7 linked regions of the Nothobranchius furzeri genome follow. The protein of the gene in region 1 purifies or fractionates together with the protein of each later gene. This does not show direct contact. Links are inferred from orthologs where the notes say so. Each region holds a gene or a part of one and is shown on either strand. Other genes may lie near its edges. The genes, in order: stx18, sec22bb, snap29, srprb, rint1, scfd1 and scfd2.

Evidence for each region.
Region 2: the proteins of stx18 (region 1) and sec22bb purify together in Homo sapiens (affinity purification with mass spectrometry; 5 studies listed by BioGRID and IntAct, counting the BioPlex papers as one, with this or other methods). This does not show direct contact. The link is inferred for Nothobranchius furzeri from reciprocal best matches to the Homo sapiens genes STX18 and SEC22B.
Region 3: the proteins of stx18 (region 1) and snap29 purify together in Homo sapiens (affinity purification with mass spectrometry; 3 studies listed by BioGRID and IntAct, counting the BioPlex papers as one, with this or other methods). This does not show direct contact. The link is inferred for Nothobranchius furzeri from reciprocal best matches to the Homo sapiens genes STX18 and SNAP29.
Region 4: the proteins of stx18 (region 1) and srprb purify together in Homo sapiens (affinity purification with mass spectrometry; 3 studies listed by BioGRID and IntAct, counting the BioPlex papers as one, with this or other methods). This does not show direct contact. The link is inferred for Nothobranchius furzeri from reciprocal best matches to the Homo sapiens genes STX18 and SRPRB.
Region 5: the proteins of stx18 (region 1) and rint1 purify together in Homo sapiens (co-immunoprecipitation; 6 studies listed by BioGRID and IntAct, counting the BioPlex papers as one, with this or other methods). This does not show direct contact. The link is inferred for Nothobranchius furzeri from reciprocal best matches to the Homo sapiens genes STX18 and RINT1.
Region 6: the proteins of stx18 (region 1) and scfd1 purify together in Homo sapiens (affinity purification with mass spectrometry; 5 studies listed by BioGRID and IntAct, counting the BioPlex papers as one, with this or other methods). This does not show direct contact. The link is inferred for Nothobranchius furzeri from reciprocal best matches to the Homo sapiens genes STX18 and SCFD1.
Region 7: the proteins of stx18 (region 1) and scfd2 purify together in Homo sapiens (co-immunoprecipitation; 3 studies listed by BioGRID and IntAct, counting the BioPlex papers as one, with this or other methods). This does not show direct contact. The link is inferred for Nothobranchius furzeri from reciprocal best matches to the Homo sapiens genes STX18 and SCFD2.

What each region holds. Positions count from the first base shown.
Region 1 is NC_091743.1:54,501,813-54,505,756, forward strand, and holds the start of stx18 (syntaxin-18), read left to right. Parts: upstream 1-1,144; 5' UTR 1,145-1,205; coding exon 1,206-1,358; intron 1,359-3,590; coding exon of another isoform or gene 3,591-3,678; intron 3,679-3,944. UniProt on the Homo sapiens protein: Syntaxin that may be involved in targeting and fusion of Golgi-derived retrograde transport vesicles with the ER.
Region 2 is NC_091748.1:52,853,415-52,855,575, forward strand, and holds the end of sec22bb (vesicle-trafficking protein SEC22b-B), read right to left. Parts: intron 1,094-2,161; coding exon 947-1,093; intron 862-946; coding exon 707-861; 3' UTR 501-706; downstream 1-500. UniProt on the Homo sapiens protein: SNARE involved in targeting and fusion of ER-derived transport vesicles with the Golgi complex as well as Golgi-derived retrograde transport vesicles with the ER.
Region 3 is NC_091757.1:55,819,076-55,823,080, reverse strand, and holds the start of snap29 (synaptosomal-associated protein 29), read left to right. Parts: upstream 1-1,205; 5' UTR 1,206-1,462; intron 1,463-2,157; coding exon 2,158-2,394; intron 2,395-2,632; coding exon 2,633-2,826; intron 2,827-3,712; coding exon 3,713-3,798; intron 3,799-3,879; coding exon 3,880-3,984; intron 3,985-4,005. Other genes in the region: pi4kab (phosphatidylinositol 4-kinase, catalytic, alpha b), read right to left, coding at 1,026-1,124. UniProt on the Homo sapiens protein: SNAREs, soluble N-ethylmaleimide-sensitive factor-attachment protein receptors, are essential proteins for fusion of cellular membranes.
Region 4 is NC_091753.1:42,154,364-42,158,613, reverse strand, and holds srprb (signal recognition particle receptor subunit beta), read left to right. Parts: upstream 1-1,450; 5' UTR 1,451-1,670; coding exon 1,671-1,812; intron 1,813-2,076; coding exon 2,077-2,171; intron 2,172-2,248; coding exon 2,249-2,326; intron 2,327-2,411; coding exon 2,412-2,494; intron 2,495-2,688; coding exon 2,689-2,825; intron 2,826-2,937; coding exon 2,938-2,992; intron 2,993-3,340; coding exon 3,341-3,554; 3' UTR 3,555-4,130; downstream 4,131-4,250. Other genes in the region: col26a1 (collagen alpha-1(XXVI) chain), read right to left, coding at 226-345, 457-629. UniProt on the Homo sapiens protein: Component of the signal recognition particle (SRP) complex receptor (SR). Ensures, in conjunction with the SRP complex, the correct targeting of the nascent secretory proteins to the endoplasmic reticulum membrane system.
Region 5 is NC_091741.1:64,267,313-64,270,812, reverse strand, and holds part of rint1 (RAD50-interacting protein 1), read left to right. Parts: intron 1-1,614; coding exon 1,615-1,840; intron 1,841-2,095; coding exon 2,096-2,233; intron 2,234-2,840; coding exon 2,841-2,935; intron 2,936-3,500. UniProt on the Homo sapiens protein: Involved in regulation of membrane traffic between the Golgi and the endoplasmic reticulum (ER); the function is proposed to depend on its association in the NRZ complex which is believed to play a role in SNARE assembly at the ER.
Region 6 is NC_091758.1:18,052,494-18,055,993, reverse strand, and holds part of scfd1 (sec1 family domain-containing protein 1), read left to right. Parts: intron 1-460; coding exon 461-536; intron 537-1,030; coding exon 1,031-1,084; intron 1,085-3,500. UniProt on the Homo sapiens protein: Plays a role in SNARE-pin assembly and Golgi-to-ER retrograde transport via its interaction with COG4. Involved in vesicular transport between the endoplasmic reticulum and the Golgi.
Region 7 is NC_091748.1:39,881,051-39,884,550, reverse strand, and holds part of scfd2 (sec1 family domain-containing protein 2), read left to right. Parts: intron 1-1,893; coding exon 1,894-2,069; intron 2,070-3,500. UniProt on the Homo sapiens protein: May be involved in protein transport.

The sequences.
Region 1 (3,944 bases):
GTGATCATTTTTATTTTAATCACAACTGTAAATATTAACATGTATAAAATGTATTACATTTTTTACAATAATACTGCAATTATATTGCAGTAATTTCTCACTATCTATCCAATTCAATTCAAACATACTTTATTAATCCCAGAGGGAAATTGATTAAACCGATCACATTCTGATTAATACGGAAGAGGGTTAAGGCCACTGAAAAGAAAAAAATGAAAAAAAGACTATTCTAGCTTTTGTCTTAGAATTTAAAGTTTTTTATTCTCACATTTCCAACTTTGACAATTCTGAGGGGGAAAAAGTCATAAATCTGAGAAAAAAGTCAGATTTCTCTTTCTTTTCAGTTGCCCTAATCCTCTTCCACAGTTTTATTAGTAAGTTCAGGATATCCATATTAAATTCTGTCACCCGTGTTGTTGAATTTCCATCAGTTCAGAGACTAAAGAGTCCTGCTGACAGGTTCATAACGGAAACAACTGTTGGAGTCACGAATTGTTCAGCAGAAAATCCTTCTTTTGAGAAAAAATGTCATATTAGTTCTTGTAAAAATATAGTAATGGGCTCAGAGTTCAATATGAATTCTGCATTAGCGGCGCAAGAAGAAGACAGTCCTGTTCAGGTCTCGTTAGACATCCCTTTAACAGACTGCAGGGTTATTCCTCGAGGAAACACACAAAAACAAGTTAATTCTATCAGCTTTTCCTGACCCTCATTCACCAGGCACACCTTCTGATAATTTTCCTCCCCATACACTTTTTTTCAACAGCATGCTATAAAAATGCATTATTAAATTCTGCAAAAGCCTGGTATTGAAACATTTATTATATGTAATGAAATTGATAAATAGAGAAACAGTATAACATTTAAAATATACAGGATAATATTCAAAATGACCATGATTTAAAAAGACTTTCTCTTAATACTTTTTAACCTTAAATTGTTAATTTTAAGGGTTTTTCTCAATTATAAAAACTATTCCCTTAAAAAACAAACATCAATTAAACAATATAAGGTGGAAGGCTCACCGTATGTGATTATTATAAAGAAGCAAAATCTTTTTCATTTGCTGAAACAGTCCAAACCTAAATTCTAAAGCTCTCTTCTCCAGCTCAGGGAAAACCTGTAGCGTCGCAGGAGAATGACATCATGTTCGGTGACGTGTCAGTTTGTTTACCGTGTCGTGGTGCAGCTGCACACAGAGAAGCATGGCAGTGGATATAACTTTACTTTTCAAAGCGAGCGTGAAGACAGTCAAAACCAGGAACAAGGCTATAGGAGTGGGCTTTGAGTCTACAAAAGATGAGATTTTTAAGAAAAGCAAACCGAAGGGCGGCTTCTCACCGCGAGCTAAAGAAGTGGTGAGTGTTTTACCGCAGCTAGCGAAACTAGCTCTGACAGCCTCCATATGATCCTGATAATCGTTGTATGGCTTCTTAAAACAAAATTTACTAACGACTAGAATTCTTTTACTAGACTCTGAGAGGCAGCAAGCGCCTCTTATTTAAAGCAGAGGGTAAACTTTTCACCCGGAAACTTTTATAATAGGTATCTGTACAGTTGGCAGCTAATGCTACATTCATATTTATCCTGAATAAAGCCAGTTGAAACGTTTTAAAATGCACATAATATAGGTATTCGTTCAAGTTTGTTTTGCATTTTGGCCAATTCAATAAAATATGTTACATTTTAAAGTGAAAATTTAAAAAAAAGAAGTGGCCTAAATAAGTTATAGCTGTAATACAAATCTCAAGAACAGTAATTAAACAAGATAGCATGAATATTTAATATGATTTAGTGACTCTGAGATACATTTTACTCGTGATCATCTTCAAATCAGAGTGTTTAACTTGCCATATTCAATTAACTTGCTTTTTAAAACCAACTTCAATCAAAGGTACTCTTAAACCTAATATAGATTTTTTCTAAATTGAGTAACTTTTATCAACCTTTCTAATCAGTCATCTGTAGGTTTGATGAGTGTAAAAAAACCAGCATCTTCCTCAGTCCTTAGATGTAATTCACAATCTAGGATGTGCTCTGATCCGTAGGACCCAATCTATTTTACTTTTTTCAAAACGCTTCTATTCTCTGTTTATTTTCTATATTCCATGTTTTCTGACTTAACCATATTTTCTCCTAAAATGATTCATTTTATAGGAAATTAATAACTTCAACAAATAAAATCGTGTGTGTGTGTGTGTGTGTGTGTGTGTGTGTGTGTGTGTACTAGATATTGACAAGTTCAACAGAAAAATCAGTACAATATTAAGATACTTAACAATTTGATGTAAATCACTACATCAAAAATATCTCCATTTTTAAAAATTAAGTTTTACACATAGGTGTTCAGTGTGAGAAGAAAAATAAAAATGCCTCACATATGAAATTAAAATGTATCCATTTTATCTCCGCTACACAAGAGGGGGCCTATTTTATGTAATAAAATATGTAATTTATTACACAAAATAAGTAAGAAAATGGTCCATGACTCTGTCTGCAGTGTTTTACATCATGAAAATAATATAGTCCTTCATCAGCTATTTATGTGGGAAACACATCTCCTACACTGATAAGAATTAATTTTCATAAGACAGTGCCAAAGCTGAAACAAACACATTGAAACTATTAATTGCTTTGAATACACAAGAGCCAAAAACTTGAATTGCATTACCAATGAGATGTCTTTACACTTTTTTCTTTTCAATAATGACTTTGCAAAGCATCAAACTATCATCAGCTTTTAGACTGGAGCTTGACAGTAGACCCCGGAGTCAAGTGAAATATATATATATATATATATATTATTTTATTTTATTTTATTTTATTGCTTTGAATTTATTGCTTCAATGTGTGCAAACCTCACTAAAATCAAGGCATTGCAATAAATCAATTATTTAAAAAATATAAAAAAAAATTAGCACCAACATAATAACAAAGCACCATATAAAATAAAACTCAAAATAAAACGTTTCACTTGAACCCACTCATAAATAATAATAAATTATTAATAAATAAAAATAATAAATTGTAAATGTACAGGCTTATAACTGAAAGGCCTGCTGAGAATACTGGTAGAATTAACCCTTTAAGCACCAAAGTCGCATTATTGCTGCATTTTAGAAGCCACAGCTGCAAATATAATCCGTTATGAAGTTTTTGCTTTACACCAGAAGATAGAGATGTGTAACTTCAAGCTGAGCAACACTTTTGGGTGTTGCTATTAAAATTTTCTAATTTTATAAAGTTTGAAAACCTGCCCCCCTCATGTGCCTCTCTGCCTGTGAGTAACCAGAGTAGTTCTCTGTGTAGAGTTAAACAGAGGATGAATCTGGCAGGCCAGGCTACCAGCCATCTGCCCTGTCACAGGAATGTGCATCATTTAATTCAGCCACAAATTGAGGATGTACTAGCGACAATTATAGAATTTAATCGTAATATAAACATGTTTGTTATCAATGTACTTCCTGAACATGTGATGGTTTTTGGTAGATAAATTAAGAAAATTATGTAAATACAGAAATAAAGTTATTAGTATTAATTTAAATAAACTTCAATTTGTTGTCCTTTTTCTTTCCTAAATTGTGCTGAAGCATCGGATCTGGAAAGAATGTGCCTGTATATCATGAACAGAGACGTCTTCAAAGGCAACTTGAAGAAGCACTTTATGTTCCCCATGGGGTAAGAGGGCTCTAAGTGGTGCCCGATGGCTCCAACCATCAGCCTGAAGCAAACTTGAGCCTAGTGGCTCTTACTTCTGCTCAACCAGGTTTTTGTTATGTTCTGTTCCATTGATATTGGAAATGGCGGTTTAATAAAAGCACTGCTGCTGATTCCAAGGAAACCCAAACTCCTGTGGTTCCTGCCTCATGCTTCGCCCCTTCTCCTCCTGCTGTCTCCTCTGCTGCAGATATCATCTCAGAAAAAGGTTTATGTAGAAATTGAAA
Region 2 (2,161 bases), on another chromosome or scaffold:
GAAACTTATTTTTATCTTGTGGGTAAAAGCTGGGAACGGGTTGAGATGAACCACCTTCGGTTGCTCGCCCCTTCTGAGTCACTGCATAACGTCTGATGTCACATCCTGTCTCATCACAATAAAGGTAAATAAAACAGATAGTTGTATTTGTGAACCGTTCAAACACTACTTTAAATGAAATCTGCCTCAAATGTTTGTGCCTAAATTACAGCGGAGATCATTTAGTGATGAATCGGACGCGTTATGCACGTTTATGAGATTAGGAGCAAAAAGGAAAATAATGATGTGGTTTGTGTCCTTTATCTGTATCCTTAGACATACAGAAGGTTAATGAACAAAACGGGAAATAAATTTTTTCTCTACCTTTGCACAGAAATCACATTCAAAAACAGGCAACCCACACACTCTCACACACACACACACACTAATTTCCTCTACAATCCGAGGGCCATAGATAGAGAATGACTGTTAATTAGAAAACATTGTTTCATGACACCGTTGCTATTCAGACCCACATACGGACAATTAAGGACAAAATGAGTGCTTGTGTGTGTGTGTGTGTGTGTGCGCGTGTGTGTGTGTGTGCGTGTGTGTAAAGTCTCATTAAGAGCAGGGATCCTTTTGGGTCGAAAGTGCTGCTTTTTCTCAGCACTCGCAGACGGCCTGCAGCTCGTTTCCACTTCACTACCTCCTCCCTCTTCCTCTCTCAGAGCCACCAGAAGCGCACGTAGACGATGAGCATGATGAAAAAGACGCCACCTGCTGCCAGCTTGGCGTAGGTGGAGCGGGTGTTCAGGTATTTGGCATCACTCCTGTACTTCTTTGACAAGCTGGACAGATTGCTGGCCTTGGAGTCGAGCGCTGCAAGGAGAAGAAAACAAGATGATCCAGATGAGGTTTTTCCTCTTTTAGATTGAAGCTTCAGCCTCAAATGACCAAGACTGACCAGAGAGAGCCTCTCCTCTCTGCAGAACCTCCTCTATGTTTGCCACCATGATCCTCTGGACGTCCTGCAGCTCCGTGTTGATGCTACCCAGATTCCTCCGTGCTCGGCTGTCGATGTACGACTTCTTGGTTTTTTGAATGTAGGTGTCTAAAAGAGAAAAAAAAACGCAACAGAAAAACAGAAAAGTAACAATGAAGCCATGAGTTGTTTGCTTCAAACACTTCACAGTTTACAGTTTTAGGCTCATTTATCTGCACAATTGAGGATTTTTTTTTTTGTGGAATTTCAGTAAAGCTTCATCAGCTCTGCAGCTACTACTGTTTCCGGAGAAGATGCAGCATTTGGGACATCTGTTTTAAAGCTGAAGGTTTGATGCGAGGTCCTGGGTTCGCATCCCGCCCTGGGGTCTTTCTGCATGGAGTTTGCGTGCGTGGGTCCTCTCCGGGTACTCCGGCTCCCTCCCACAGTCCACAAGCATGACTGTCAGGTTGATTGGTCTCTCTAAATTATACTTAGGTGTGAGTGTGTGTGTGTGTGCATGGTTGTTTGTCCTGTGTGTCTGTGTTGCCCTGCAATAGACTGGCAACCAGTCCAGGGTGCACCCCGCCTGTTTGCCTAGAGACTGTTGGAGCCCCCAGCGTGGATAAGTGGGTACAGATAACGGATGGACTGATGGATTGTTACTGACTGATATTCTGAACTAATTCAGAAAGGAAGCCATGATACTACGTGCATTCATCCATGCTTCTGTGGCACACCACCCTGTGTGGGAATGAGATTTAAACAATATAATTTCATCACGATTTAGCTTTTATATCCAAATATCTGACCAGGAATCGAGTTTCCTGATATCTATATGAACACGATTCTGAGCAACCAGGCTGTCGCTGCTGACAGCATTTCACATGCCTCCTCCGTATTACCGTAATCCATGAGCTGTTCAGGACATCAGAAAATAACAAAAGTGCAGAAAAGCTCAGAGATTGCACTTTGGTAGCCTACATGACACCTCATGGTAGCCCCTCGGTGACTTTCATAACACGAACTTGATCAACAAGATGAGCAAGCTTCACTGTTGTAGTATTTGTTACTCAAGCTGCTCCGTACCGTAACACCTGAGAGGTTTTTCCAATTCAGTGTCTGGAAGTGCAGAAAAACCTTTCCGACTGTTGCAATGAACATAACAGAGAAACGGTCAGCAAGGGAGAAGGAGAG
Region 3 (4,005 bases), on another chromosome or scaffold:
CGACCACGAAAGAGAAGGAAAAAAGGTAATCTGGTCATTTCAAAACAATGAAATTTTTCAATCTAATTACACTTTCCTTCACTAACTGAACTTGCACATTGCATTATTAAAATACCAGTATTTAAAGTTATTATATAGTATTTAAACGTTTTACGAGATCTGGGAGCAAATAAACACTGGGGTTTTGCGGAAGTTTGTGGTAATTATGCCATAAAATGCATCACTAAGTTAAAACCTAAAGATGACATTAAAGGTTTGTGGCTTTTCCAAATAAACTTTATATCTAAAAGTCAATAATATGTCACAAGGGTTCTGCTATTTCTTTATAGTATCAGTCTCAAATGTTGCAGTGTTTCTTGTTTTACGACACCTGCATGATCCAATATTTACCTGTCTTATAACTGAAATTTTACAACAATGTAACTGAAATTATTTCTGATTTTTGTAAAAAAAAAAAACATTTGTACTGTATTCAACCCGTTATTAATACACATGAATTTTCCATGTTTTATTACCTGTTTGATATTCTAGCTAAAACTCTAAATACACAATAGATAATGGAGTGCGTGGATAGTTGGTTCAACAAAATCAATCAAATCGACTCTCGTGCGAGCTTCTCTTAAGTGGTGAAGTAAATCTTCTTCATTCTCCACCCTGTAGTTTGAACAGGTTAGTATCCACAACCAGCTGAGCACTTTCCCCCCTCATCTGTAAACCTGTTTGACCGCAGCGAGGCTGGCTACTCCGCCTGAGTGATGCAGTAGCAGGAACCACACAAGCGCAGCAACAGCCCGTTTATCTTCTGATACGGGAGAGGGAAACATTAATTCCCGTACTGGTGACTTCTAAATGCAAACATAAACGGAACTGTCAAACGTTAATCTTGTCTGTAATCAAAATAAGGCACCGCCTGGGCGTGCGGAAGCGGAGCAACACCCTAAACACCAGTGGTCATTACTGTTCCGACCTAAGCTAATTTTATGCTAATTTTTGTCAAGAGAAAATTACTCTGGATTTTTCCTCACCTTGTCGACGGGGGCAGGACGATGAGCAGCAAGTGAGCGGGCCAGCGATAGAACTGTGTTGAAATAAAACCCTCTCGTACTGCCTCCCATTAAAGACATGTTTACGATTCCATCAAGCCAGCGTTATGATTCAACAATAAGAGGAAACGGCAGAGCAGCGGCAACTAGCGTTAGGATACCGCAGTACGGACGGAAGCCCAACACGGACAATTCCATGTTGCGCCATTCAATATATTGAAGCTATTTACTTTTTTTTATTTAACCAAGTAAGCTAAGTTAAACATATCCCATCCGAATTTTTTATATTTTAAATTTTTATTTATATTATTTTATACACGAGGAGTACTTTTATACTTTTTGTTGCGCACGGCACACCACTACGTCATCCAACGTGACACAGTGCTCATCTGTAGCACTGAGTTATCGACAGTCAGAAGGTGAGTGTCGTTTTAATTATCATTTTTAGGGTGTCGTTTGGCACATGCTATTTCATAGCTGAAAAGGTGTTTACAGTCAAACTACACCGCGGCTTTGTCTCTCGGGTGTGGCTGTTTGACGTGTGGGTCGGCTAGTTCTGCTAGCAGTATCTTCTCGAACATGCTAGCCAACACCTATTAAATAACAACACAGAACAACAAATATTATTGTCTTTAGGTTGTATAATACCGGTGCCATACAGCAGTGAACTGCTTGGAGCCACCCATCATTTAAAACATGTTTTCTTCTGTGAAGACTGAAACTTGTTGAAAGTAGAAAAGAGTTCTTTTCAAAATACAGCTAAACTTTTTTCAGATTAATGTGTCAACTTATCTGTTGATGCTAATGGTAAGTTGTCGTTATGTTGTAGGGACTGTAATACGTTACAAGCTACTTTTTTTATATTATTATCTATCTTGGCAGGTGTTCTCACGTGTATTTTTAGAAAAGTAACTTATGAGGACTTATTTGGATTTTAATCACTTCTTTTATGACTTATTTCAGTTTCTCACAACATGATATTATTTCACTTTCTTAATGTCAAAAGCTTTGCTTAGTGGTTTTTATACAGCAGATGAGCACACTTAATCCTGTTGACATATATTTAAGACTTTAGATAATATTATTTTGTCAACACTGTGCGTTTAACTTTCAGATGGCCTACCCAAAATCTCACAATCCATTTGCTGATGACGAGGAGGAGGAAGGATTTAAGCCTAAAAATAGGGATTTTGATGGTGAAGCTGATGACAGCGGGCTGTCTGACGCTGAGAGGAGGCAGAGGTATCTCCGACAGGAAGTAATGCGCACAGCACAGTCTGCTGTGGATAGCAGCCATCGTTCCCTTGGTCTCATTTATGAATCTGAGAAGATGGGTGTGGAAACTGCAGAGGTATAAGTCCATCCATCTATCCATGCATTCTTCATCCATTTTTTGCTCATTTATTTTAATGTTCTTCTTTCTCTTTTGGCTTTTGCCTTCAATGGTCCCTATGGTGAATTGTCTGTCGTCATTCAGTCCTTTCCTATCTGCATTCTCTACCCTCACATTAACTTCACATCCTCTTTCACCGCATCCATAAATATCCTTCCTCGGTTGCTCATTTATTTTTATGTGTATATGTGTTTAGGAGTTGGTGCGACAAGGTGAAGCTCTGAAGAGGGCTGACAAGATGTTGGAGGGTATGGATCAGGACCTGAAAACCAGCCAAAAGCATATTAACTCTATCAAGAGTGTGTGGGGAGGTCTTGTCAATTACTTCAAGGGTAAGCCAGATGCAAAGCCAACCCCTGAAGAGCCAAAAGCCTACGAGACCAATGAACGGTACGTTTCAGTCACTCCTGTGCTGCTGTCATATCAATACCATTTTCTTATTTGTTGCAGGTCCAACACTTTAGACTTTTTACTGCTTTTGCTATTGTCATTTTTACAAATATTCAATAACTTTTATTTTAAAGTTGAATGCAAATCAAGTTCTAAAGCTTAATGGAATAGAAGTTATAAAATATTACAGCATTTAAAGAATCATAATTATTAGGATTAAAAGTTGAAATCTGACTTCATACTAATACAACTGATTCATTTACTAGACCTTCTAAGCTACAACGCTACAAAATGTTAGAAATGTATAATGGTAAATGGCCTGTATTTGATATAGCGCCACCTAGAGTCCTATAACCCCCCAAGGCGCTTTACATCACAGTCATTCACCCAGTCACACCCTGGTGGGGATGAGCTACGATGTAGCCACAGCTGCCCTGGGGCGCACTGACAGAGGCAAGTCTGGCGAGCGAGCACTGGCACCACCGGTCCATTTGACCACCATCAGCAGGCAAGGGGGGTAAAGTGTCTTGCCCAAGGACACAACGACAGCGACAAACTGAGCGGGGCTCGAAGCTGCAACCTTCTAATTACGGGGCGAGCACTGAGCTCCTGTGCCACCAACACCTCATAGTATCAGTAGTTGACCTAAAGTTACTGTTTTATTTCTAAAGTATCCCTGAATTTACAAACCAAGCACTGCTGGAGGATTTTCAGAGGTTACTACAGGTGAGGTGTAGCTCCTCCCTCACCTCTAGCACATGTACTAAGGTGCTTCATGTGTTTAATGAAAGTAGCCCCAAACGTTATTTATCATAGAATCCAGAACATGATCATTATCTGGAAATTTCAGTTCATTTCTTGTTTTGAATTGTACTTTTTGTCTCAGATTACAGAAGGCCATGTCCAGCAGCAGAGAACATGAAGATAAATACCAAGCGAGCCACCCCAATCTAAGAAAACTGGAGACAGGAGGTGGGCGTTGGCACATGAACCTGGGTATGTTTTAATCATCCCATGAACCAGCCGTCATCATTTCTCCTTCCTGTGTTCCAGGTTTTGGAGCAGCTTCATCCTTGGATTCTGGCTCATCCGGACAGAATGGATACCCACAGAACAGCTACCTCAAGGAGGCTCACCACACCCTTGATAAAAATTTGGGTAAAAATAATTCATTTCTGT
Region 4 (4,250 bases), on another chromosome or scaffold:
GTGACAAAGATCTGTTTTAGATTTAGCTTTGTTTATACACAACACAGCATTAGCTCTGCTAAGATCAACCCTTTCAATCTCAGAATGGGTGCAAATGATTCATGACAGTTTCAGGGTGTTTTGATCACTAAAGGAGCCCTGCTTCATTTCCCTAACTGACTGTAAACAGGAAACCAGCAGCACTGGGAGCTGAAGGGGGCAGACCAGTGAGGACTCGGAGGGTACCTGATGACTTTGGCACATGGTCCCGGCCATCTGCAGCCCAACACTCTCTGCACGGAGGTTTCGGTCCCGTTGTGCACTTTACATGGAACAGTCCTGGAGACGGTGTGCTGGCACCAGTTCCTGCGATGCACAATGAAAGAGATCAAAAGCAACTGGAAGTAACCAGTGCGATAAAAAAATGCTCCACTCAACACCAACAGAGTTTGCAGAAAGTGTAAATAAAAAGTGTACCTGAGTTGGTTCCGGGATCCAGAACCTGGTGGACCCGTGGTTCGGCTCTGTTCCGACTTGATGCGCGGTCGCTGCAGGCTGATGCCTGGAAAGTGATAGATGAACCCAGTTCCGAGGGAAGCGCACACTAAACTCACCCACACGCACAGCGCGTAGAGGTAAGACAAAGCCATGCTCTCTGAATGACAGAAATATTCAAAAGAAGTCGATGTTTTTCAAGTAAATCCGTCTTTAATGACGAAAAAACTACAGTACTTTCACAAAGAGGAGTAATCTAAGCAGATCCCGCTGAATCCATCAGTGGGGGTTTGTCATTTCTTGTTCCGACGAGAAACAAGCTGCCCCCCTCAAGAGCCCGTTATGAAGGACACTCAGCCATTTCCTATAGAATAACTTCTCTCTGACGTTTGACATCCAACCGAGGAGTCAAATATCCAGTGTGCGTAAAAAACGTGCAGACTGTGAGGGCTGGAGACGTGCGTAAAAACGCATCTGGTCTCAATTGAAAACAAAAATAAAATAACAAGATTCCATGTTACAAAACTCATGCTTTTAGTCTGTTTCACATTTATACCTTGATTGTTTTCACATGAGGTCTTCTACAGAAACATCGGCAAGGTTGGGAATAAATGAGGACTAGAAAACACTTTCTGTTCGCTTTTTCAAAAGGACTCCAATAAAATCTAACCTATATGCGGTAGTTCGCCTTTAGCTACATATAATACAGTTTAAGATGATTTACAATTATTAAAAATAAAAATAATAAATAAATGCACCAAACTCAGAAATAAAGCTGAATTTTTATTTATAATCTCTTTTCACTTCCCTTCACGTGAGGCCTACAATGTCTACTTAGTTTAAGAGGGGAAAGCTATCTTTTTTACAGTATGTTCCTATTAAAATGTACGTTCCAAAAAATATAGATAGTTGAATTATTATCTCAGAGTTATCACATATTTCATACTTTTATTTGGGGAAATGGATTTGTAAAAACATGAAAAAACATGTCTCTTACTTCTTAATGTTCATAAAGTAAAACAAAATAAAATCGAAAGTGATATTCATTTTTTCCGAGAGAAAACTCTTATTATATTTATGTGATTATTATTATTGAGCAGCAGCTCTGCAGCGCCCTCTGCTGTTCACTCAAGCTCGCCACAGGCTCCAGGAAGCAGACGTGTCCAATTTCAGTTACGAACAGCAGCAGTGGAAACATGGGCGAAAAAACACACAAGGACTCACCTGAAAACCCGTTTGAGCCTTTTATTGAATCTCTCCGTCAGCAAGTTGAAGACCAAGACCCAGTAATTCTGATCGGAGTAATCGTAGCTTTAGCGGTGGTTGTCATCACCTGCGGTAAGAAGGAACCGTAAGTTAGCTTAGCATGCTAGCTTTAGCAAACTAGCCTTAGCGTGTAGGCTAGTATCATGCCGTTTCAAAGCGGGTTTCTCAGTAAAGCTGGAAAAAACGTTTTCAGTGTGTTTACAAAATGCTCAATTAACACGCAAGAACAATAAAATAATATCTCTTAGCTGCAACAGTGTAAGGAGTCATTCAACTTCGGTTTTAGCTAATAAAAATATTGAATAAATAACAATCCTTTCCACATTTCCTCTTTAGTTTTCCTGAAGTATTTTCTAACCAGTAAAACAGTCCAGAGTGCCATTCTGTTGGTCGGATTATGTGACTCTGGGAAAACCCTCCTGTTTATTAGGGTGAGTTGATGTTGGGACCACCATGGCCACGTTAGCACTGTCTTTCCTTTTCATTAAAAGTGTTTTATTTGTTTCAGCTGCTGTCAGGGAAGTTCAAGCGGACACAGACATCCATCACTGACAGTAGTGCGCCATACAGAGCTAAAAATGAAAGGGTAAGTCTTCTTTTCCTTCTGCATCAAAGCATAAAACTGTTATTATAGGTTGACAATGATTGACAGCTCTGTCCATAACTTTTAGAGCAGCTCCTGGACACTGATTGACCTGCCAGGACACGATAGTCTCCGGTTTCAGTACCTGGAGAAGTTCAAGTCTTCAGCCAGGTGAGAACAGCATAAGTGCATGGTTCAGTAATCTCTTCATTGGTGCTTTTAGCATATTTGTGCACAGTTTTGTTGCAATGCAACAACTCTTTTCCACTAAATAGGATTTAAAACCAAAAAAGAATCAAGCCTAATTATTTCCTCATGAGCCCATTCTCATCACCACTCTAAAATCTTACCCTTTCTTTCTGCAGAGCCATTGTGTTTGTTGTAGACAGTGCCATCTTCCAGAAGGAAGTGAGGGACGTGGCAGAGTTTCTGTACATGCTGTTGACGGACACCGTGATCTCCAGAAACGCCCCGACTCTTCTGGTGGCGTGCAACAAACAAGGTGAAACAACCTGTTTACTTTAAATAAACAACTTAAATCACCTCGTTGCGTCAGTCAAACTAAACCGCTCTTCTATAAACTGGAAACTCTTCTGCTGCTTTTATTTTGATAGACATCACCATGGCCAAATCAGCTAAACTGATTCAACATCAACTGGAAAAGGAGCTGTAAGTAAACCTAATTTGATCAGATTCCTGATTATTTTTAGCACAACTGTTATAATCTCTTTTAAGAGAGATTGCGAAGTCACATTTATTAAAAAATACACGAATGAGGGAGATGCTGCAATCTTTCTAGGATGTAATTCTAGACAAAATATTGTTTTTGAGTGGCTTCAGACAAAAAAATTCACAACCCTCTTTAGTCGTTGAGGATAAATAAATATCCCATTTAGTCTCATTAACAGCACTTTTTAAAAATCTCCTGGCCATTACACAAATCAAAGTCAACATCAAACTCATTCCTGAGGGTTAAAACTGCTGAATGGAATTCTGAGAATGTCATTTTTCTGACAGAAACACCTTGCGAGTGACTCGCTCGGCAGCCCTGAGTGCTCAAGACGGCTCTGTGGGCGGCAGCGTGTATCTTGGGAAAAAAGGCAAGGACTTTGAGTTCAGCCAACTGCCCATGAGGGTGGAGTTCCTGGAGTGCAGCGCCCGGAGCAGCAGCAAAGGTGAAGAGGGGGAAGCGGACATCGAGAGCCTGGAGAAGAGCCTGGCTAAGCTATAAAATCAGCAGCGAGACACAATCGGCGTACAACTTCAACAGGAGTGACGGGTCACCCTGCCCGACGTAAAGACATTTGTCCTCGTGTAAAAGTAATCAGATTTACTTAAAGCTTGTCTGAGCTGTGAAACACTGAAAATAGATGAGCACGAGCAGCATTTCAGTCTTTGTTATTCATATAAAATGTTAAGTTTGCAGAATAAGTGTTCTTGTTTGAAAGTGTTATATATGAATACAGTGAATTTAAGAACATAAGTTTATTGCGCTTAAGTTTGAATCAAACTTCTTTATTAAATAAAAAAAAAAACAGATGAGACAGGTTGATTAACATTTAAGCACAAAAAATACGTTTTCTCCTCAAGCGTTTACGTTTCAACCAAGTTGTGTATGTTTTAAGCAACGTGTCTCCCTCAAGACAGATGTGGGTTTTTTGTTAGAATAGCTGTGTTCAAATATCTTCTAGAGCAGCTTTCTTTGAGCTTTTGTTTTCTGACATCTGGTGTGGATTCAGAAGTTTTGTCACTCTATAAAAAGAGCTGCAAACTTCAGTTAAACATTAAAAACATGTTTCTCCAGTCAGATGTGGTTGTTTTAAATGTAATTAGTGTGAGACAAATGGTTTATTTTACGAGATGACATGTTTAAAATACCACACAGCGTGTTTTTATGTTAAGGACTGATGTTTCATTCACATCACAT
Region 5 (3,500 bases), on another chromosome or scaffold:
CAGGTGGTAATCAGCTGACCGCTCAGCTCCCCTCCTCACTCAGTAGTCACAGACACGTGGATGCTGATTTGATGATACCATTACAAAACCGATTTCTGACCTGTGACCCAGAATGTAATATAACCACTAATGTTTAAAAACAGTTCTTCAAATTTGTGTAATTAAACTGGCTGTATGAGTCCAAGTGTCATTTTCCTCTTTAACTTTTGCCTTCATTGTGAATCTGTTGGGTGACGAAGCCAGTTGTCGAGTTAATATGTGAGCTCTGTTGCAATCTTTTAATATTTGTCTTGAGGGGATTATAACGCTTACTGTAAAATAATCACAAATCAGCCAAACGTCTCAATCATGTTGGAAGGAAGGTTACATTGAAGCTGGCTGGGGGGTTGTCAGTTTTTCTCCTTTCAAACTGGACAAAGGGATGTAGCCACAATATGTGGCTCTCTGTGAGGCAGTCTGTGAGCTTGCTGGGCTGCCAAGTCTGCACCAATTCGGCGCTGCTGTGTTTTGTTTAAGATCCTTCTAAGCCAGTAAACAGGAGTGACCCAGAAGTTATTTCTTGTACTCCCAAGAAGCCACAGCATATTTTTGTTTTACTCTAATATCAGGTGAAGAAGGCTTATAGGCTAACGTTAAGCTAACATTGCTAATGGTGAATTGGAAGCAAATAGTCTGCTCAAAAAATATCCCAAGCTATGTTTTCAATTACCAATAACTCGATAATACAGTGGAATATATTTATATACTTACCAACTTACTCTGTATGGCTCGTCCTTGCTCGTCATCTAGAATTTCTGGTGCTGAGCCGTAACTGGAAACAGCCTCGATATCCTCGGTACAGGGGTGAGAGAGTCGCTCTATGTTTAGAAAAATGAGCTGCAGTAACCAAACGTGATCACAGAATGCAATTCTTATTCATTTCCTACATCTTGCACATTAGAATCTTAGAATCTGTCATTCATGCTTTTATTACTTCCTGTTTAGATTATGCCAACTCTATCCTCTTTGGTGTTCCAGCTTCAGCTCTAAATCGACTCCAGGTGGTTCAGAACGCTGCAACCAGGTTCCTGACGAACACTAACAGGCGTTCACACATTACTCCCGTTCTGACACATCTGCATTGGTTACCTGTAAACCTACGAGTCAAGTTCAAGCTCCTGACCGTTGTCTTTAAGATTTTGAATGGCTCTGCTCCAGGATATCTCTCTGACTTGATCAGTCCCTACATGCCATATCGGGCTCTGAGGTCAGCTGACCATCTGTTGCTCAGTGTACCATCTATGAGATATAAATGGCGGGTTGAGCGGGATTTGGTGTTTGCTGCCCCTAATTTATTGAATGCACTCCCAATCAGGCAGACTCCCTCCCTCTTTCATTTTAAATCGGTTTTAAAGACTTATTTTGATGATATGACTTTCTCTTATTGCTGATGTTTTACTGTTTTATTGTTGTTCTTGCTGTGTTTGACCCTCAGTGTTTTTATCCTTGTACAGCACTTTGGTCAGCTGACATGCTGTGTTTGAAATGTGCTTTATAAATAAGTGGTATGATATTTAAATGTGAATGTTTGTAGTTTGCTGACTGCCTGCTATCTCCAATTATTCCTGTGTCTAGGTGGAGCTGTGTCGTGGGTTGATGTCTTTAGTCCAGGAGAAGGTAGCCAGTGATGCTTCTCGGATGCTTTACGATGATGTTCTCTTCTGTCACCTGGTGGAGGAGGTGCTGCAGTTTGAGAAGGAGCTACGGAGTAATTATTCATATCCAGCAGTGCTGCCGGGTCTTTTTCACATTCTGCTTGAGGATGCGGTCCTTCAGAAGTGGCTTTCCATGGAAAAGAAGAGTGAGTTCTCATGTGTTAGCATCTTTTGGCTTTGATTGGGCGTGTGATGCCACGCAGGTATGTGTGTGGGGGGGTTAACTGAAGCTGAGAAGCCGTGCCGATGGTCGATTTTACGTGGAATAAGAAATGTAGGGAAATTTATACAAAACATCGACAAATATCATCAGGCGTAACAGCAGTAATAATATCGGATATCGATATTGGTGAGGATGAAACGGTCCAACTGCATGTGTACCGGTCTGTTTTTATTTGCAGTGGCAGTGGAGAAGATGGATGCCATGTTGTCTGCTGAGGGAGCGTGGACGTCTCAGTATAAAGATATCAGTGACATGGATGAACTGAACGCTCCAGAATGTGCAGAGACATTCATGACTTTACTGCAGGTCATCACAGGTAAGTTGGGACTAATGTTTTCAAAGCAAAGCTGTTCAATAAAAAACATAAAAGAATAAAAGTTAAATTCGCTCACAAATGCATATGGAACACGTGTGTGTGTGTGTGTGTGTGGGGGGGGGGGGGGGGGGGGGGTTTGGTTGTTGGGAGGGTCTCTTCATTGCTAAATGACTGCACTTATGTCAGCCGGAGTCACTTTATTTTTCTGCTGCCATGCCTAACTCTGATGTTCCTACAGCTCTCATTGCTACAGTCTAACCAGCTGTTTGCTACTGCACTGCTGGTTTTCAGCTGGGAGATAATTCACTACCACCTAAAGTGTGTGTGTGTGTGTGTGTGTGTGTGTGTGTGTGTGTGTGTGTGTGTGTGTGTGTGTGTGTGATAGATTTCTTTTTCATACAATATGGATTATTATGCACACTTGACTTGAAAACACTGCTTGATGGTCTACTTTTACTTATGTGAGTCAGGTATATGATGATCCTGGTAAAAATCTAGACTACCAATCTGGGCTAATTTGATCATTTTAGGCTATTTACTACGTTTCCTAGGTCATTGTGATAAGTAACGCTGATGTTTACTTGTTTCTGTCTGGTGTCAAACCCAGAGCGGTACCAGGCTTTGCCCAGCCCTGCAGCACAGCTGAAGTTCCTGGAGCTGCAGAAGGAGCTGGTTGATGACTTCAGAATTCGACTGACACAGGTAATCACGACGCTCAGGTTAGAGTGTGATAAAAAAGTGCAGCAGGAAGCAGCAGCCAAAGGAAATACTTTCTCTGGCTTTTCTAACTGTAAGTTGAGGATGAAGGGTTTGTGTGAGGTCATCTAATGAGTTTAGAGGTGTTTGAAGGAGGAGACCATTGATCCTCAGTGGGGAGGAGCCACCTTCCTGCTTCCCGTAGTCCACCACCTTACATCCTCAGGTTGTTGGTCTGACACCACTGTGATATGTTCAAAACCCTTTGGTTCATTCCTGCTTCATTCTGACAATATTGGTGTAATTTTTAATCATATTTTGAATATAAATCAGTTGTGACAAACGAGAACAAACAAACAAACGAGTGCTACATAACTGCGTAAGGATCTCAAAGAACTGCTGACTCACTGTTATGTTGTGGCTGGCCTGCTTCTGCATATGGACCTGAAGGACTCTCAGACCTCTTCGCCTGGTTAAGATGATAGAAGCTAAAACAAAAACACTAATAGTGCTGTGATGATGACGATGGAACACAAAGAGAGGAATAAGTAGAATCTGGGTTTATCGCTGC
Region 6 (3,500 bases), on another chromosome or scaffold:
AACAATTTAACCCTCCCACACTCCTAATGGTTGTGACCCCGCAAGGAAAGTTGACCATTGAGCAGGGTTGATGGTTTATCCCTCGAGGTCCATGTGGCAGAGATGAGGAGGTCCACGTGGTCCCCTGACACGTGGACCTCGAGGGATAAACCATCATCAGTCCTGCTCAATGGTCAACTTTCCTCGCGGGGTCACCCATAAAGACAGTGGGAGGGTTAGAGTTTATGAAAGTAGGAAAAGCAGAAGATGTTCCTCTGAAATGCAGCTAAGAACAGAAATAATTCAGGGATTTTAGCTGGTTTTGTTTCTCTCCAGATGAATACAGATTCTGATTTTAATAAAGCTGAAGCATAAAATAATGTTGACTCAGGTTTTTGTTTGTTTTTAAGCAGCGTGCTTTCGTTTACCATCTTAACCATTTTTTCTGTCTTGTTTCTCTTCCCTCCTCTTCTCTCTACAGCCTGTTCTCCAGAGTCATGAACACCGGCTCCCAGTTTGTCATGGAGGGTGTGAAGAACTTGGTGCTCAAGCAGCATGTGAGTAAAGCACTGAGGAAGTTCTCAAACTGCCTCAGACTCAGCTTTTACCACAGCTACTCCACAAACGCCAGGGCAGATAGTAAAAGGATCAGGAATTGTGCCAAGCACACGGATACTGGAGTTCCTGAACCACTGACCCCGGAAGATCAGGATAGAAGATGAGACTTTGCTCACCATCATTCTCAAACTGGTTCATTTCAGGATGTCGTCCTGAGTCCTGCTCTTGGTTCAGAGTTCACTTCATCCTGCAAATGCCAGAATGTTCCTCAAAAGCCACCTGATTTATTAATAAATAATCACACTTTTAGCATCTGGCTGCAAACAGAAGCAGATTTGTGCAAATTCTGAAAAATGTAGTTTTCTGCTGGGAGTTCTCCGTCTTCAGGGGGAATTAAAATATCAAGTTTTGTGATCAAATATATTTTTCCACGTAGTTTTTCTTTTCTTCATTTGCGTGTTTTAAAACTGATTTTATTTTATTTTGGTTTTAGAATCTTCCAGTCACTCGGATTCTGGACAACCTGATGGAGATGAAGTCACATCCTGTGAGTTCAGTCACTGTTTCTACTTATTGGATTTATTTTCTCCTACATCAGAGCAGATCACCACGACCACCGGTCTGAAAGTGATAACCCTTAGATTAACTATTCTATAATTATTCTAGCTGGTCCGCTTTATTTCTTCTCAGTGGCCTGCAGTGATGGGAATAACACCGTTTAAAATAACGGAATTACTAAAAAAAAGGTAGTTTTTTCAGTAACTAGTAATCTAATTAGTTACCATCTTTTATCGTAATGCCATTTTCGTTACTGATCAGAAAATGCGTGTGTTACTAATTCAGCAGCACAGTGTGTTGAAGCTGCCTTCAGCTGATTGGGAGCTAAAGAGGCGGATGTTTTCATCCGAGCGCATCGCGGCCCGTGGAGAATGAGGAAGACGTGATGAATATTCTGCAGACCCGCAGATTTGCTACTGCAAGCGTGAATCTGCAGCCGTGCCCTTCTTGGCGGGACAGCGGGACGTCCTGATCCTTCTACCTTCCTAGATCATCCAGCTGTAACCTGTTTCTGATCATTTAGTCCCGCTGTAACACTGATGCATCAGTCTCAGACATAGTGGGAGCTCAGGTGTTATTAGAACTACCTGTGTGTGTTTACCACCCAGCTTCAGCTCTTCTGTGGTTGGGTCTGACCCAAGTTAGTAAATGTAAGTCCCCCATCAGGCTTGTGCTTCTTCTAGTGTCATTTTAAAGGATATTTATTTATTTATTTAACCATTACTAGATTACCAGCAACAGAAATGCTGGTAAAAACACACAATTATGTGAAGCTGGAAAAATTAGAAAACCGTGCAGAATCACATTTATTTCAGTAATTTAACTAGACCGAGAGACCATTTAAAGGCTCAGGAACCTTTACAGGTGTGTCTATTTGCAATTATAAATTTTAGCTGATTGGTTAAATATCACACAGTCACATTTTAATAGTCTAGATTAGTGTAATGTTCCAGTTTGTAGTTCCTCCTGTTAAGTGCCCATTTATTTCAATTATTCAGTTTTATACAAAACATTTGGACATACATTTTATTATTTTCCAGTCTAAGTTTAACTAAGAGGAGAACCCATTTTTCTTGCATTGTTTAATGAAAAAAAGTAACAAAATATTTATTCTTCTTGGTAATTAGTAACTTTTATAATCTTGTAACTCAGTAAGTAACTGAGTAACTTTTTTGGCAAAATTATCAGTAACTATAACTAATTACTTTTTAAAAATAACATTCCCAACACTGGTGGCCTAGTGGTAGAGTGTCCGCCCTGGGACTGGGAGATCTGTTCAAATCCCGATCGGGTCATACCAAATACTTTAAAAATGCTTGAGTCTTAGCCTTAAGGGGTTGGATTGGGAGGTTAACCCACTCGTCTTCCACTACTCTGCTTAGATGGTACTCCCAACAGATGTGGTTTCCAGCTTCAGATACTTAGGATTGCCTATCAGCAACCAGCTGATCTGCAGCAGTCTAGTGGAGAGGGCACATCAACAGCTGTATGTCTCCCAGAGACTCAGACAGGGAGGACCTAGGATCAGTCCTCTGATCCATCTACAGATGTGTGGTGAAGAGCATCACTGTGTGGTACGGAACTTGTTCTGCAGCATGTGGCCAAAGCTGCACAGGATTACCAGATGCATTATGTCACTAGTGTAGGATACCTTCACCTCCAGATGCAGGAGCAGGGTTTCAGTAGTGACGTTCACCAACAAATCAGATCATTTGAACATCTCTTCAAAGTGAACCATGAGAGCAGAGTCCTTGTAGACAACAGTTCATTTTGTCTTTCGGTAAAAACACACACACACACACACACACACACACACACACACACACACACGCACACACACACACACACACACACACACACACACACGCACTCTCGCACACACACACACACACACACACACACGCACGCGCACACACACACACACACACACACACACACACACACACACACACACACCTGTAGGTTTCTCAGCAGCTGGTGTTACAGACCACAGAGAGGTCCTGTTGTTCTTGGTCTGAAGAGGAGGGGTGAAGATGAAAGAAATAGAGGAGCACATTCTGTTCTTATCAGATTGTCCTCTGTGTGAATGTGGTTCTTCTTGGTTTCTGGTTCAGGTTCCACAAAACATAAGAGGAATGTTGACTTCATGGTTACACACCGAACCTTAATGTCTTATGTTTGCTCGCTAATAAAACCGTCTTAAACTGTTTTTGTGTTTTGTTAGAGTGAATTTTTTTCATTATCTGTATAATTTCTAGGCTTTTATCTGTCACATGAGTGTATTTCCTTTTTCTGTTGTAAATTTGAAGCTGATCTTTTCAGAAATTTCACACAAAACTCTTCAATGAAAGTAAAACTCATTAGAGCTGTCTTTCTGCACAATCATGGTCCGGTTCATGGCCGTT
Region 7 (3,500 bases), on another chromosome or scaffold:
TGATCAAGATCATTGATGCCCTTTATCATTGGACTCAATCCTGTCTGCCTGCTAGCAACTTATCTACTGAACCTCTGGACAGAATTGAATAAAAATCGAATCCTGCCATAGACGACTGACCTTAGCAAACACAAAACCGTCAGTGAGTTTTACAGATGTTGAGCTAAGATTTCATGTGTTCACCAGAACACCCTATTCTGATCACATCAGCCGTTATTCAGCAGCTTCATTCGCTGCCAGTAAAGTTCAGGGTCCACTACAAAATTTGAGTCCTTACGTATAAGGCCAATCATAATCTCGTCCCCTCTTATCTCTCACAGCTCTTACAAGTCACTAAACCCTCTCACATGCTCAGATCCTCTTCTTCCATCAACTTAAATAATCCACCACCTCGTCTTGTCACGATGGGATACCGGGCATAGCAGATCGGCTCCCCCCCTATGGAACTCATTACCTGCTCACCTTAGGAACATGACTACCCTTCACCAATTTCAGGCTAATCTCAAAACTCGCCGGTTCCAAATTGCTTATTGACTTTAACTGTTAGTGTTTTATCTGATGTTTTATTTGGGTTTTTAATTTTCTAGTCATTGAATGTTTCAAGTTTTTATTTATTTTTAACCTGATTGTACAGTGACCTTGGGTTTTTTGAAAGGTGCTCCAAATAAAATGTATTATTATTATAATTATTATTATATTCATTTTTATTTAAAATTTTATCTATTTTTATTTTTATTGTAGCACAAACAGTGATTTCTCTCTGACACCAGCTGAAAGTTAAAGTCCCACTAGTTGTCAGCTCCTCTAAATCTGAGACCATGGTCTTGATTCGGAAAAGGGTAGAATGCCTTCTCCGGGTCAGGGATGAGGTCCTGCCCCAAGCGAAGGAGTTTTAATATCTCGGGGTCTTGTTCACGCGTGAGGGAAAGTTGGAGCATGAGATTGTTGCACCGGTCTGTCGTGATGAAGAGAGAGCTGAGCCAGAAGGCAAAGCTCTTGATTTACCGGTCGATCTACATTCCTACCCTCAACTATGGTCACGAGCTTTGGGTAGTGACAGAAACGAGATTGCAGAAACAAGCGGCTGAAATAATTTTCTCTGCAGGGTAGCTGGGCTCTCCCTTAGAGATAGGGTGAGAAGCTCAGTCATCCGGGAGGGGCTCAGAGAGACCCGCTGCACCTCCGCATTGAGAGGAGCCAGTTGAGGTGGCTCTGGCATCTGGTTAGGATGCCTCCCTGGTGAGGATTTCTGGGCACGTCCAACCGAGTGGAGACCTAAACAAAAACCCAGGACACACTGGAGAGACTATGTCTCTCGGCTGGCCCGGGAACGCCTTAGGATTCCCCTGGAGGAGTTAGCCCAAGTGGCTGGGGAGAGGGAAGTCTGGGCCTCCCTGTTTAGGCTACTGACCCCGCGACCCGACCCCAGATAAGCAGCCGAAAATGGATGGATCGATAATTGTCATGCTGGTGTGTGAAATTAGTTCTCTGCATTTGACTCATCCTCTGAGAGAGCGGTGAGCCGCAGACACGGCCACGCTTGGGTTCCATTTGGTGGTTAAATCTCCCAAGGTGAGGGTCAAGCAGTGGAGCAGTATGTCCCATTTTTAGAAGTCTTTGGGATGACCCTGCTGTGGATTTGTGACCAATTCTAAGCCTTTAATGATTAAATGTTAATTTTTTTTTTGTTAATCTGATTTCTTGATGTTTTCCTCGTCCCATCATTGCCTGAACACCTGTGTATGTTTGTGTGAATATTTCCAGTGAAACAAAAATAAAAATATCCTGATGATAACAGTGAGGAAAACAATAACATATGTATGTTATGTGACAAATAGAAAACTGGATGTTTGTACTGTTGTGAAAATCCTCCCCTCTGATTTCACTTCTCAGGACGTGTGACCCCGGAGCAACTGTGTTCTTACGTAAAGCTGTTCCGGAGAAGTTGGGAGGCACTAGAGAGTCACTGCGGGCTCCTCCAGCTGGGCCTGGCCACGGCCCAGACACTTCGACATCCCAGCTTGGCCCGCTGGGATGCCTGTCTGGCCTTTGAAAGGCTGCTGCTGCAGGTGCGCACTCATCTTCTACAAGTTCACTATTCTTATGTTGCAATCCGTAACAACTCCATTACTGACACATCAGAGTGAGAAAGCTGCATATTCAAGCTAATTTGTGTCCTCCAAGGTGATATTTTCTTACCAAGACTAATCTGGTAGGTGTATGGTTTCTAACATGGTGTTCAGATTGTTGGATTTACAGATTTACTTTGAACTTTTCCCTGCAAACGTCAGTTTTCTGTTCGGGGAACATTTATTTCCACTAAGCGCAGCAAAAAAATGAAACAGATTTCCATCATGTTGTTTGGTAGTTGTAGAGTCTGGGAAGGGAAGAGGTTGGTTTTACAGATGGGAGGGCAGGAGTGGATGTGCTGGAGTACTGGAAGGTCAAAGAGCAAGTTTTACAAATCAAAAACCAGAGTCATATTCATATTTTTAGTAGCGATCAGCAGATATTTAGTATTCAATCACACAAGCTGAACTGAGCCAAACCAGTGGCAAACTACTCCTGAGGCCATGTCCTCCCCCTGCATTTTTATTGAGCCTGTTTACGTTCCTGAAGATGCAAGGCCAACAGTAGGATGGCAGAGTATTTGGGAACTTATTAAACCAAATCACGGAAAAATAAAACACGCTGGTAGCTCGGGCCAAGTTGGAATTTGGAAAACAATCTTTTAAACCCCAATGCTCCGATAGGATCACTCGTTTATTAAACTAAGGAATGTGGATTGAGAGCCTATGCTGTCCCAGTATTGTTTAATGTACGGCTCCTTGGATTCGCTCCGGTGTCCGTCCTACCTGGATCCTTCATGTCAACTTTGTTGCGTTTTTAGTCCTGATCAATTAAATTTGCCTCCACTACCTCCAGTTTTGTTTTTGTTTAATGGAACTGGTCACAGTCAGGTTTTAAGAGTTGTGCTCAGCATCAGTGTTTTATTTGATTTTGAAACTTTTGGCTTGAGTTCAAAACATACTTTCATTGAAAATCAGATCTCACCATCGGGCCTTCGGCTTAATGCGAGAGCTGCAATCAAAACAGTTCTGAGTTTTACTGAAGAATTTAAGGAAATGAGTTGTGTCCTCTCTGTTGATTTGAGCTAAATGTGAGGTTTTTATTTATTTATTTATTTGCTTTGCCTCAACCTTAGAGAGAAAAAAAAGTTATTACACAGAAAAATGGTGGGATGAAATGGCTCTTAGACCTGCCAGGCAGTTGAGGTGTGTTTGCTCAGTCTGAGTGTGTGTGCACCTGTGTGTGTGTGTGTGTGTGTGTTGGGGGGGGGGGGGGGGGGGGGGGGGGGGCACTGGCTGGACACTCTGCTGTTGGTCTGAGTTCATACAGGCCACCTCCTATGTGGAACACAGGGACCATGGAGTAGGTTGGTGCTCTGATGAGGTGAGGGGCTGTCGAGTTCAGAGAAGGGAATTTTACACTAACTTGGT